3 linked regions of the Canis lupus familiaris genome follow. The protein of the gene in region 3 interacts with the protein of the main gene of each other region in a pairwise test. Links are inferred from orthologs where the notes say so. Each region holds a gene or a part of one and is shown on either strand. Other genes may lie near its edges. The genes, in order: NTRK1, INSR and SH2B1.

Region 1 (3,648 bases), on a different chromosome or scaffold from region 3:
ATTTATCTGTATAATAGTGTAAATAGATATGTATTCTTCATAGTTTCAAGCATGTCTGGCAATTTTTACTTGAAGAAAGTCACTAAAAATTCATTTCTTTTGCTTTGGACAGAACAATGCTGATGTGTTTACTAGTTTGTGCCAATTATTTTATTTTATTTTTAAAATATTTTATGTATTTATTTATTCATGAGAGATGCAGAGACATAGGCAGAGGGAGAAGCAGGCTCCCTGTGGGGAACCCGATGCAGGACTCAATCCCAGGACCCTGGGCTCATGACCTGAGCCAAACACAGATGCTCAACCACTGAGCCACCCAGGTGGCCCTGTTCAGATAATTTTAATAGTGTCAAGAAATGTGCCCGTTTCACAGAAGAGACTTAAGTGGCTTGCCCAGGGGCACACAGGTAATAAATGGCCCAGGGTGGAGTATGGTCTCCTCTCAACCCCTGACTGCAATCGTCACAGGTTCCCTTTGTTGAGTCCTTCTTGGGTGAGAATCCCCGCCTTCCCCAGGATGGGACAGTATGAGATGTGAGGCAGGCAGGGGGAGGGCCAGGCTTACACTTAGCTGTGAGCTCCTAGCTGAGCCAAGTAGCCTATCTCTCTGGCCTCAGTTTTCCTGCCAGAAGAGGTTCAGCGGGGGACTGTGGTTCTGGATGAGAAAGTGCTGTGTGACTGTCCAGTTCATGTCCAGATGTGGTCTCCAAACACCCCTTTGGGAGTGAAGGGTCACTCACACAGGCTGCAGAATTCAGTTGGGGGAGACCTTAAGAGGTCTGTGGAGGGGGAGGAGAAGCCAGTGGCAGTGGGGAGCAGGAGGCAGGTGATGGGAGACGCCACGATGAGCGTGGAGCCATTGGGCTCAGTAGACTGGAGTCAACAGGAAGCCAGACAGGAGGCCCTTCCCTTGCTCACCAGACACTGCATCGGCTCAGTGCTGAGTGCCTGGGATGCAGGCCAGGGACATGCCACCATCTGGGGCCCAGGATGTGGGAGAAGTGGCTCTCAATACTGGATAGAATACAGGGACCCAAAGGAGGGAATCATGAAGGCTCCTGGATGAGTCTGGAAGGTATTCCCTAGGAAGCCTATCTGTTCCTTCTCACCCCAGGGCCTTTGCACTTACAGTTCCCTCTGCCTGGTACATCAGGTCTCTCTCCCAGCCACTTCACCTACCTCTCTGTCTCTGATGCTTTTATTTTTTTTTTAAGATTTTATTTATTTATTCATGGGGGTGCGGGGCGAGAAGCAGGCTCCATGCAGGGAGCCTGACGTGGGACTCAATCCCGGGTCTCCAGGATCATGCCCTGGGCTGGAGGCGGCGCCAAACCACTGAGCCACCCAGGCTGCCCATCTCTGATGCTTTTAAATGGCTTATTCACCCCTTTTCTTCAGGGTTTGAGTCTCAGTTTATTTTTTTAAGATTTTGTTTATTTATTTGGGAGAGAGAGAGCACAAGTTGGGGGAGCAGCAGAGGGAGAGGGAGAAACAGGCTCTCCACGGAGCAGGGAGCCTGATGTGGAGCTTGATCCCAGGACCCTGGATCCTCAGGATGACCTGAGCTGAAGGCAAACAGATGCTTAACAGACTGAGCCACCCAGGCGCCCCCTTTTTTTCTTTTCTTTTTCTTTTTTAATATTTTATTTATTTATTCATGAGAGACACACAGAGAGAGAGGCAGAGACATATGCAGGAGAAGCAGGCTCCCTGCAGGAAGCCCGATGTAGCACTGGATCCTGGAACTCTGGGATCAGGCCCTGAGCCAAAGGCAGATAGTCAACCACTGAGGCACCCAGGCGTCCCTTGAATCTCAGTTTAAATGTCTCTTCCTCCAGGAAGTCTCCTCTGACTTCTTTCATCCCTAGCCTGAGTGCCCATCAGGTGCCCCTGTTTATCTGTATCCCATTCTCTACTGTAGCTCCGGTGCTTGGCACACCGGAGGTGTTTAGGAAGCCTCTGCCATAAAGGAAGAAATAAAGAGATGAGAAAGTTGGCCTGTGGGAAGGGGCAGTACCCACAAAGCCACTGGCTCGGGCTAGAGTCAGAAGACGGAATATCTGGGGAATGGAGCTGGGTGATCAAGGAATGATCTGAAGTGGTGGCAGTGGGAGGTGGCAGGCATCCTGGAAACTTGAAAAGAAGAAGGATCCCATGGGAGGCTGAACATTGAGGGTGAAGGGGAGAGAGACAGGAGGACCCCCAGGCTTCAGGTTCGGAGCCTGGGTGGGAAGCTTTCCTTCATGGAGGCAGGGGCAGACTTAGGGGAAGCTAAGCATCTGGAGGACAGAGTGGGAGGTATCCATGGGCAAGAGAGGCAGGGGCCAGTGGGAACCCTGATGCTGGGCTCAGAGTTCAAGGAGGTGACCTGGGGGGCTGGGGGGATGTGGGAAGTGGGGGAAGTGGGGGCAGTGGGGGCAGTGGGGGAGGCTCCTGAGGTGGCCCACCTGGCGGCCCCCCTCCCAGGCCCTGCAGACTCGTCTTTCTGTTCCTTCCCTCCTCCCTTCTCTGGAGTCCCCCACTGCCTTCCACCCCAGCTCCCCAGGATCTGGGTCTTCAGCCTCTTGAGGGCTCCCTCCCCAGCCCACCCTCTCTCCCTCACTCTTTGGCAGGTCCCACGGGCCCGACGCCAAGTTGCTGGCTGGCGGGGAGGACGTGGCTCCAGGCCCCTTGGGCCTGGGGCAGCTGCTGGCCGTTGCTAGCCAGGTCGCTGCGGGGATGGTGTACCTGGCAGGTCTGCACTTCGTGCATCGGGACCTGGCCACGCGCAACTGTCTGGTGGGCCAGGGACTGGTGGTCAAGATCGGGGACTTCGGCATGAGCAGGGACATCTACAGCACGGACTATTACCGCGTAAGGGTCCTTGCGCCCAGCCCGGAGGCCCCTCCCGGCACTGCAGGCCCCCCACCCCCGCCCAGCCTCGCAGCCCCTCCCCCTGCACTGCCGACCCCACCCCCTGCGCGCCCTCCTCTTCCTGGGCGGCGTGGGGGCGCGGGCTGTCTGGCTCTGGGCTCCCCGCCCCTTACCTCCCGGCCCGCCTTCTCCGCTCTCGGGGCGCACAGGGACTGCACCGTCGGTTTTTCCCTCTTAGCGCCGGCCCCAGAGCCCCTTCCATTCATCTTTAATGACGGGGCGGGGGCGCGGGACCAGGTGCGCGGTCCCCCTTTCCCCCACCCCCCGCCCCCGCAGTGACGCGCCCCGCCCGCCCGCAGGTGGGGGGCCGCACGATGCTGCCCATCCGCTGGATGCCGCCCGAGAGCATCCTCTACCGCAAGTTCACCACGGAGAGTGACGTGTGGAGCTTCGGGGTGGTGCTCTGGGAGATCTTCACCTACGGCAAGCAGCCCTGGTACCAGCTGTCCAACACCGAGGTCAGCCCGCCCGCCGCCCCGGCCCTGCCCCGGCCCTGCCTCAGCCGGTGCCGCGACCGACCGCGGGGCCTGCCTCCGCACCCCCCACCCCGGCTCCTTGCACTCTTCCCCTCTTCCCTCTTGGATTCTCGCCTCCACTCACCCGCCCAGCCCAGGCCCAGCTGGCTCCTGGGGGAGACTCAAAGAAAGCACTTTCCGGATGGAGCCCAGACTCCGTCCTTAGCTGCATTGTATAGGCGCAGTAGGCACCGTCAGGGTGGAGGGACAGGCATGGGGA
Region 2 (3,648 bases), on a different chromosome or scaffold from region 3:
AGGTTTGTCTGGCCTTCTGCTTTGAAGCATGTGGCCCAGGCCAGGTTCGATTTCGGAAGGGGTTGTCTGACCCAAGCAGCTCAGCTTTTTCCAGTAGTGCAGAGCGGGCCCCTGGTCCTCACACTGTAGTTTAATTGCATTTGCACGTGGGCGTGCGTGTTTACTGCTCTGCATAACTGTGTTCCCCGTCAGTGGAAGCCACCACTCTAGGAGCCCATAGATGTGACTGGCGATGGATAAGTCGCCACGATTTTCCTGCCCTCATGCAGGAGGTGCTCTTTATCTGCATCCCCCAGCCCCTGGGTAGCCCCTGGCCACCTGTGGCCATTTACATTTAAGGTAACTTAAATTAAATAGAATTGGAAATGTGTTCCTTGGCTGCACTGGCCACATTTCAAGCGCTCAGTCGCCACCTTGAGCCTGCTGGCTGCCATATCGGGCCATGTAAATGTAGACCGTGTTCATCATCATCACAGAACGTTCCACTGGACAGGGCCATTCAAGGGTGAACAGTAACATAGAGCTTGTATAAACAAGATAAGGAAGGCTGGGAAAGGAGTCCTGAAGGGAACACAGAGTTCCTTCGTAGAGAGGAGACACCTCTCTCTGCAGGGAGGCAGGCTTTGGGCCAAAACTTGTAGGATGAGTTGACCTGAATGACAGCATGCCAGGGGGCACTCCAGCATATGCCAAGGCCTGAGGCCAGAAGGATGGTTGATGTGGGGTGAATTTAGAGGAACGTGGAGGAGAACAGACCAGAATGAGATGTGAGGTTAGGGAGAGAGGCAGGAGGCAGACCTGGAAGGGCCTTATTAGTCAATTAGTCACCGAGGTATCATCCCAAGGAGCCAGTAGGAAGCTAGAAGTGATGTGATCCTATTTATGACCCCAAAACGACATTATCAGCAAGGGAAGCCAGAAGTGGTGGCATCCTCCTTATAATCCCCAAAGACCTCTTCCCTTAGCCATGGGAAACAAGAAATAGTATGATCCTGTAGCTTCTCTTGTGCAGTGGACTGTCCGGGTCAGGATGGGGGGAAGGTCCTGCAGGTGAAACTGGCAGTGAGCCTGGGGCGGGGCTGGAGTGATGGAGAGGAAGAGTTGGATTAGAGCAGGATGTGGAAGAAGAGTGGGTAGGACGCGCTGCTGTTGTAGATGTGGGTATGAGGAGAGAGGTCAAAAGGGGACCCAATCCTGGGTTTTAAGCTGGGCATCTGGGTGGTGGGGGGCCCATACCTAGCAGAGAAGAGCATGTTGGCTGCAGAGACCCAAAACTTCGGTTTGGGATAACTGCAAGGTCATGGGTGGGAAGGAAGTATTGCTGAGAATGGGATTCCCAGGCTGTGGGCCAGAATGTTGCTTCTTGGCCACTTGGTGCTTCCTTATCCTTCCCCTTACCTGGTGGTCCACTCTCTCCCTCTATTTCCCCATGAGTACCCTCAGAATCCATTCTCACTGGACTTGACCGCCACCTAGGTGAGCATACACCTGGGGCAGGTGAGCCCATCTGAAGGTTCTCCAAGGCATGGGGCAGTAAATATGGAGACACCTGGACTGTAGGCTAAGGGTTAAGACCATGTGAATCATTTGTTGTCAGACTTTGGGATGACCAGAGACATCTATGAGACGGATTACTATCGGAAAGGAGGCAAGGGTCTGCTCCCCGTGCGGTGGATGGCACCGGAGTCCCTGAAGGACGGGGTCTTTACCACTTCTTCTGACATGTGGTGAGTTGTGCATGGATTGGCGGACAGAATGCTGGGCTTGAATACCAGGTCCTCCCACCAGTGTGACCGGCAAGAGGGGGCCAGTTAAAACCCGCCTTCCTTCCTCATAGGCTCTTGATCCGGGAAGTGAAGGGGATGTCCTGTCTGAGGACCCTTGCACGGCTACTTGTGATCCGATTGACACTAATATAGGCATTTCTGAATGCAGCATGAATTGTTTAATTAACTGGCCAACCGCGTTCTAGGAAACCAAGAAAGGGGGCATGTGTTTGTGTGTGTGTGTGTGTGTGCGTGTGCTCTAATGGCTTTTTTGTTACTACTTTCAACTGTCGTTGGCAGGTCCTTTGGCGTGGTCCTTTGGGAAATCACCAGCTTGGCAGAGCAGCCTTACCAAGGCCTGTCTAATGAACAGGTGTTGAAATTTGTCATGGACGGAGGGTATCTGGATCAACCCGACAATTGTCCAGAGAGAGTGTAAGTGTAGAAAGAGTGCAGTGCGCGGGCTCTTCATCAAAAAGGCATCACCCTTTGGTTTGTGTGTCTTACGTCTACACGTGAGCTGGTGTTAGCATGTTGTGTCTTCGCATGGACACTTTTTTGCACATCATACTACATATATGCACGTCACATCTTTACACGTGTGCTGTCTTGCATATCATGTCTGTGGAAGGCTATAAAGAAACCCCACAGCAGTGGTTACCACGGGAGAAGGCAACTGGGTGGCTGGGGTGGGATATTTCTGCTTAACTGTCGATCCTTTATATACTTTACATTTTGTCAGGGAATTAATATAATCTGACATATCAATTATATCTCAACAGAATTGGGAAAAAAAATCATAAGCATAAACATTAGAATTATTTTTTGGTCAGGGAGATGTGTTACCTATCTCCCCACTCCCCCAATTTTTGTTGTAAATTTTAGTCATAGAAAAAACAATTTTTTTTGTTATAGGACCAAGACACACAAACAGGCCATTAAACACTTCCAGACTTGTCCAGTCTTACTAATAGTCTGATAAACATAAAGTAAAATGAAGGAAAATACTATCTTCCTAAATTAGCAAAAAAAGGGAAGGAAGAACAAAAGAAAAGAGAGCTTTAATACTCTGTGCTGGCAGTGGTTTGGCTAGATAATCCTTCTTATCCCCCTGTTGTTAATAGCTGCTCAGAGCAATGTTATTTTAAAATTGTATTTATTTATTTGAGAGAGCGAGAACACATGATCAGAGGCAGAGGGAGAAGCAGACTCCCTGCCAAATAGGGAGCCCGACATGGGGCTCGATCCCAGGACCCTGAGATCACAACCTGAGCTGAAGGCAGACACTTAACTGGCTGAGCCACCAGGTGCCCCTAGAGCAATATTATTTAAAGTCTCAAAAAGATTGAAGTGATCTAAATACCCAGCAACAGGAGAACTGCCAAGTAAATTTATAAATTAAAATGATGTAGCAATTGAAATTTTAAATGATGCTTATAAAAATATTTTACAACTTGGTGGATAAGCCTATGTTAAAATGTTAAGTGTAAAAAGTGTGCATCTATTGTTTCCAAATGTCTCCAGATAGAAAAGGCAAGAGGTGAGATCTGTAGGAGAGTTGAGTGCAAACTAAATTTTCTTCATGTTTTGGTTCTACGAGATTGTTTGCATATAATGTCCTTTATCAATGTTTCTTAAGAAAAAAGTTTCCCCTCCTGGAAAATTCAGGGGGAAAGACCATTTGGAGGCTTCATCCCCCAAAGAATAAGACTGTTAATTTAGAAAACTCGTTTGGAAGGGGACCTCATAGGAAAAAGTATGAAGCAGAGTTATTTAGAAACTCTGAGCAGTTATTTCTAAATGTTGCTTCTTGAAAGTCCTTTCCTAGCCATGAGCAGCTGCCTGTAGTTTCAGGACCAGGGAAATGAAGTAGGCCCTAGGG
Region 3 (3,423 bases):
TCCAACTCCTCTGGTGGGGCTGGGACCATTGGCAGGGGACTGGTTAGTGACGGAACATCCCCTGGAGACAGATGGACTCACCGATTTGAGAGGCTGAGACTCAGTCGGGGAGGGGGCGCCTTGAAGGACGGAGCGGGGATGGTGCAGAGGGAAGAGCTGCTGAGTTTCATGGGGGCCGAAGAGGCAGCCCCTGACCCAGCAGGAATGGGCCGGGGAGGAGGGGCAGCCGGGCCTACCTCAGGGGGAGGAGGGCAGCCTCAGTGGCAGAAGTGTCGCTTACTGCTCCGAAGTGAAGGAGAAGGAGGAGGAGGAAGTCGTCTGGAGTTCTTTGTACCGCCTAAGGTGAGGCTCCGACAAGGGTGGGTACCCGGGAGCGGGGCAGTTGAGCCCATGTGCATAGTTTTGCTCACTTTGATTTTTTTAAGATTTTTATTTATTTGAGAGAGAGAGTATGTAAGAGAGAGAGCATGAGCAGAGGGAGGGGTAGAGGGAGAAGCAGACTCCCCACTGAGCAGGGAGCCCAATGCAGGGCTCAGTCCCAGAACCCCAGGATCATGACCTGAGCCGAAGGTAGACGCTTAACCAACTGAGCCACCCAGGCATCCCCTCACTTTGGTTTTTAAAGCCAGCTTCTGACTCTGGGGTAGTAGTTGTGGGCAGGGCTGGAAAAATAACATTATGACCCTTTGTCTAACCCCCTTAGGGCATAGAAGGAAAGATGGGTCTCTGGAAGGAAGTGAAAGGTGGTTCCTGCACACCAAAAGTTTGGATCCTGTTCTCTTTCCCAACTTAGGCGTCTCGGCCTCGACTCAGCATTCCCTGCTCTACCATCACGGACGTGCGGACAACAACAGCCCTGGAGATGCCTGACCGGGAGAATACGTTTGTGGTTAAGGTAGGAGCTCCGAGCTCCTGCCCCCTTTGGAGCACTTGTGTTGGGGAAGAAGTTCACGTAGCTCATTGAAGGAAGGGACTTTGTGGAAGGAGGTGCCTGTGTGTCAAGTGCCTTGAGAGTGTGTCCCTGGGGCTGTAGCTTCTCTAGCAGGAGGGAACAGGAGGAGGATGTTTTTGTTCTTATTAAGGGAGGCTTATAGCCTCTGGACCTGGAAGTGGCCTGTGGGCCTCCTCTTGTCCTCGTAGGTGGAAGGCCCCTCCGAGTACATCCTGGAGACAACCGATGCTCTACATGTGAAGGCCTGGGTGTCTGACATCCAAGAATGCCTGAGCCCAGGGTGAGGAGCCTGACTGCTGTCATTGAGGGGATCAGGAGGGGATGGGGAGCAGCCTTGTGCCTCTCACCTGCTGAGTTTCTTCATAGCACCATTCTCCCTGTCTCTGCAGACCCTGCCCTTCCACCAGTCCCCGCCCTATGACCCTCCCCCTGGCCCCTGGGACCTCATTCCTTACACGGGAGAACACAGACAGCCTGGAGCTGCCCTGTCTCAATCACTCAGAGAGTCTGCCTAGCCAGGATCTGCTGCTGGGACCCAGTGAGAGCAATGATCGCCTGTCGCAGGGTAAGGGTGGAACCTCACAGGGCTGGGAACCTCAAAGCCGCCCCCGCCCCCCGTGCCAGGCCCAGGACTTCCTTCCAAACTCAACTGCGCACCCCATTCCTGCCCCTCAGCTGCACCCCCTACACACCGAATGTCTGGCTTTTGTCCCAAAACGTACCCTGCCACAGTTGGCCACTTAGAATCATCACCATCACCACCTTGCACGAGCCCCAAGCAAACTCCCTTCCAGCCTTCCGTACCCAGCCTTTGCTCCTTTTCTTTTTTTTTTTTTTTTTAAGATTTATTTATTTATTCATGATAGACACATAGAGAGAGAGGCGGAGACACAGGCAGAGGGAGAAGCAGGATCCATGCAGGGAGCCTGATGTGGGACTCAATCCTGGGACTCCAGGATCGCACCCTGGGCCAAAGGCAGGCGCTAAACCGCTGAGCCACCCAGGGATCCCTGCTCCTTTTCTATAAAGCTCGTGCAGACCTCCACTCTGGCTGGAGATAACGACTCTCTTTCCCAAGCTTCTGGAACACTTCATACACGTCTTTGTTTTGCTTTTACTCTGCATCTCTGTAGGTATGTCGATGTTTTTCAGTCAAAAACCAGATGTTTTTGACTCTTTATTTCTTGGCCTGACTGAACATACACAGCCCGACTTGCACACAGGTATGCCCAGAGACATGTGTCTGCCTGGCCCAGCTCTCACCTTTTTAGACTCTATTATTCCCTTTGTCTTGCTCCTCTATTCCGAGTGGAGGTTCAGTGGTGCCTGGCACCCTGGCTGTGCTCACTGAGTAAACAAACAGATTGAACAGTCTTGGAGCTAAGATGGACCTTACAAGTCATCGGTTCTATGCCCCTCAGGCAGCTAAGACCAGGGAGAAGCAAAGGCTTTTCTTTCTTTTCTTTCTTTCTTTCTTTCTTAATATTTTTATTTATTTATTCATGAGAGACAGAGAGAGAGAGAGAGAGAGAGGCAGAGACACAGGCAGAGGGAGAAGCAGGCTCCATGCAGGGAGCCGAATGTGGGACTCGATCTGGGGACTCCAGGATCACACCCTGAGCCAAAGGCAGGTGCTCAACCACTGAGCCACCCAAACATCCCTGGGAAATGGCTTTTCTGAGGGTACCCGAAAGCCCCTGAAAAAGACCAAGGCTATGCAAGTCTGCTCTCTGCCCCCCTGCTCTCCATACCCCACATACACCTGTCTTCTGAGCACTGACTATGTGCTCAGCCTATTCCCACAGGCTCAGGCCTGCCAGCCAGCAGACATTCAGGAATGCCCTAGTCCACAACTGAGCCTGTGCTAGGGTCTGGGGCAGGATGCAGGAACCCAGAGATGCTCGAGATGAGCTCCTTGTCCCAGACCAGCTGAATTGATAAGCTGTCACTCCCTCTGAAAAGTAGGACTCCAGAATGGAGAGCCTGTGCTAGTGTCCTCTGAGCAGCACTAGCAGGAAGCACTGTGGGAGCTCAGAGGAAGAAGGGAATCGAGGAAAGTGGGATAGACAGGATACCACACAGGGGAGGTGAGAGAGAACAGGGCTTAGAGGAAGCAAATGGCCAGAGCCAGACCTAAGGTGGGGAGAGCCTGGGAGCTTGGGAAAATCGGGCGGGATGATCAAGCTCATGTGGAGACTCCAGGAATATAAGCCAATGTGAACATCAAGGTGGGGAGGTTGGGCTGATTAATAGGAGGATCTTTGATGCCTCTGAGACTTGGGGACTTTGTCCTGTAGGCCAAAAAAGGACACTTTTGGGCAGTCCCGGTGGCTCAGCGGTTTAGTGCCACCTTCAGCCCAGGGTGTGATCCTGGAGACCCGGGATCGAGTCCCACATCGGGCTCCCTGCATGGAGCCTGCTTCTCCCTCTGCCTGTGTCTCTGCCCATCTCTCTCTCTCTGTCTCTCATGA

What was found.
Region 1: the proteins of SH2B1 (region 3) and NTRK1 interact in a two-hybrid assay, tested with the Homo sapiens proteins (2 studies listed by BioGRID). The link is inferred for Canis lupus familiaris from reciprocal best matches to the Homo sapiens genes SH2B1 and NTRK1.
Region 2: the proteins of SH2B1 (region 3) and INSR interact in binary tests that used the Homo sapiens proteins (3 or more experiments, as listed by UniProt). The link is inferred for Canis lupus familiaris from reciprocal best matches to the Homo sapiens genes SH2B1 and INSR.

Annotation. Positions count from the first base shown.
Region 1 is NC_049228.1:41,123,330-41,126,977, reverse strand, and holds part of NTRK1 (high affinity nerve growth factor receptor), read left to right. Parts: intron 1-2,612; coding exon 2,613-2,853; intron 2,854-3,212; coding exon 3,213-3,371; intron 3,372-3,648. UniProt on the Homo sapiens protein: Receptor tyrosine kinase involved in the development and the maturation of the central and peripheral nervous systems through regulation of proliferation, differentiation and survival of sympathetic and nervous neurons.
Region 2 is NC_049241.1:52,431,268-52,434,915, reverse strand, and holds part of INSR (insulin receptor), read left to right. Parts: coding exon 1-2; intron 3-1,597; coding exon 1,598-1,727; intron 1,728-2,066; coding exon 2,067-2,201; intron 2,202-3,648. UniProt on the Homo sapiens protein: Receptor tyrosine kinase which mediates the pleiotropic actions of insulin.
Region 3 is NC_049227.1:18,540,952-18,544,374, forward strand, and holds part of SH2B1 (SH2B adapter protein 1), read left to right. Parts: coding exon 1-342; intron 343-793; coding exon 794-895; intron 896-1,140; coding exon 1,141-1,232; intron 1,233-1,341; coding exon 1,342-1,517; intron 1,518-3,423. UniProt on the Homo sapiens protein: Adapter protein for several members of the tyrosine kinase receptor family.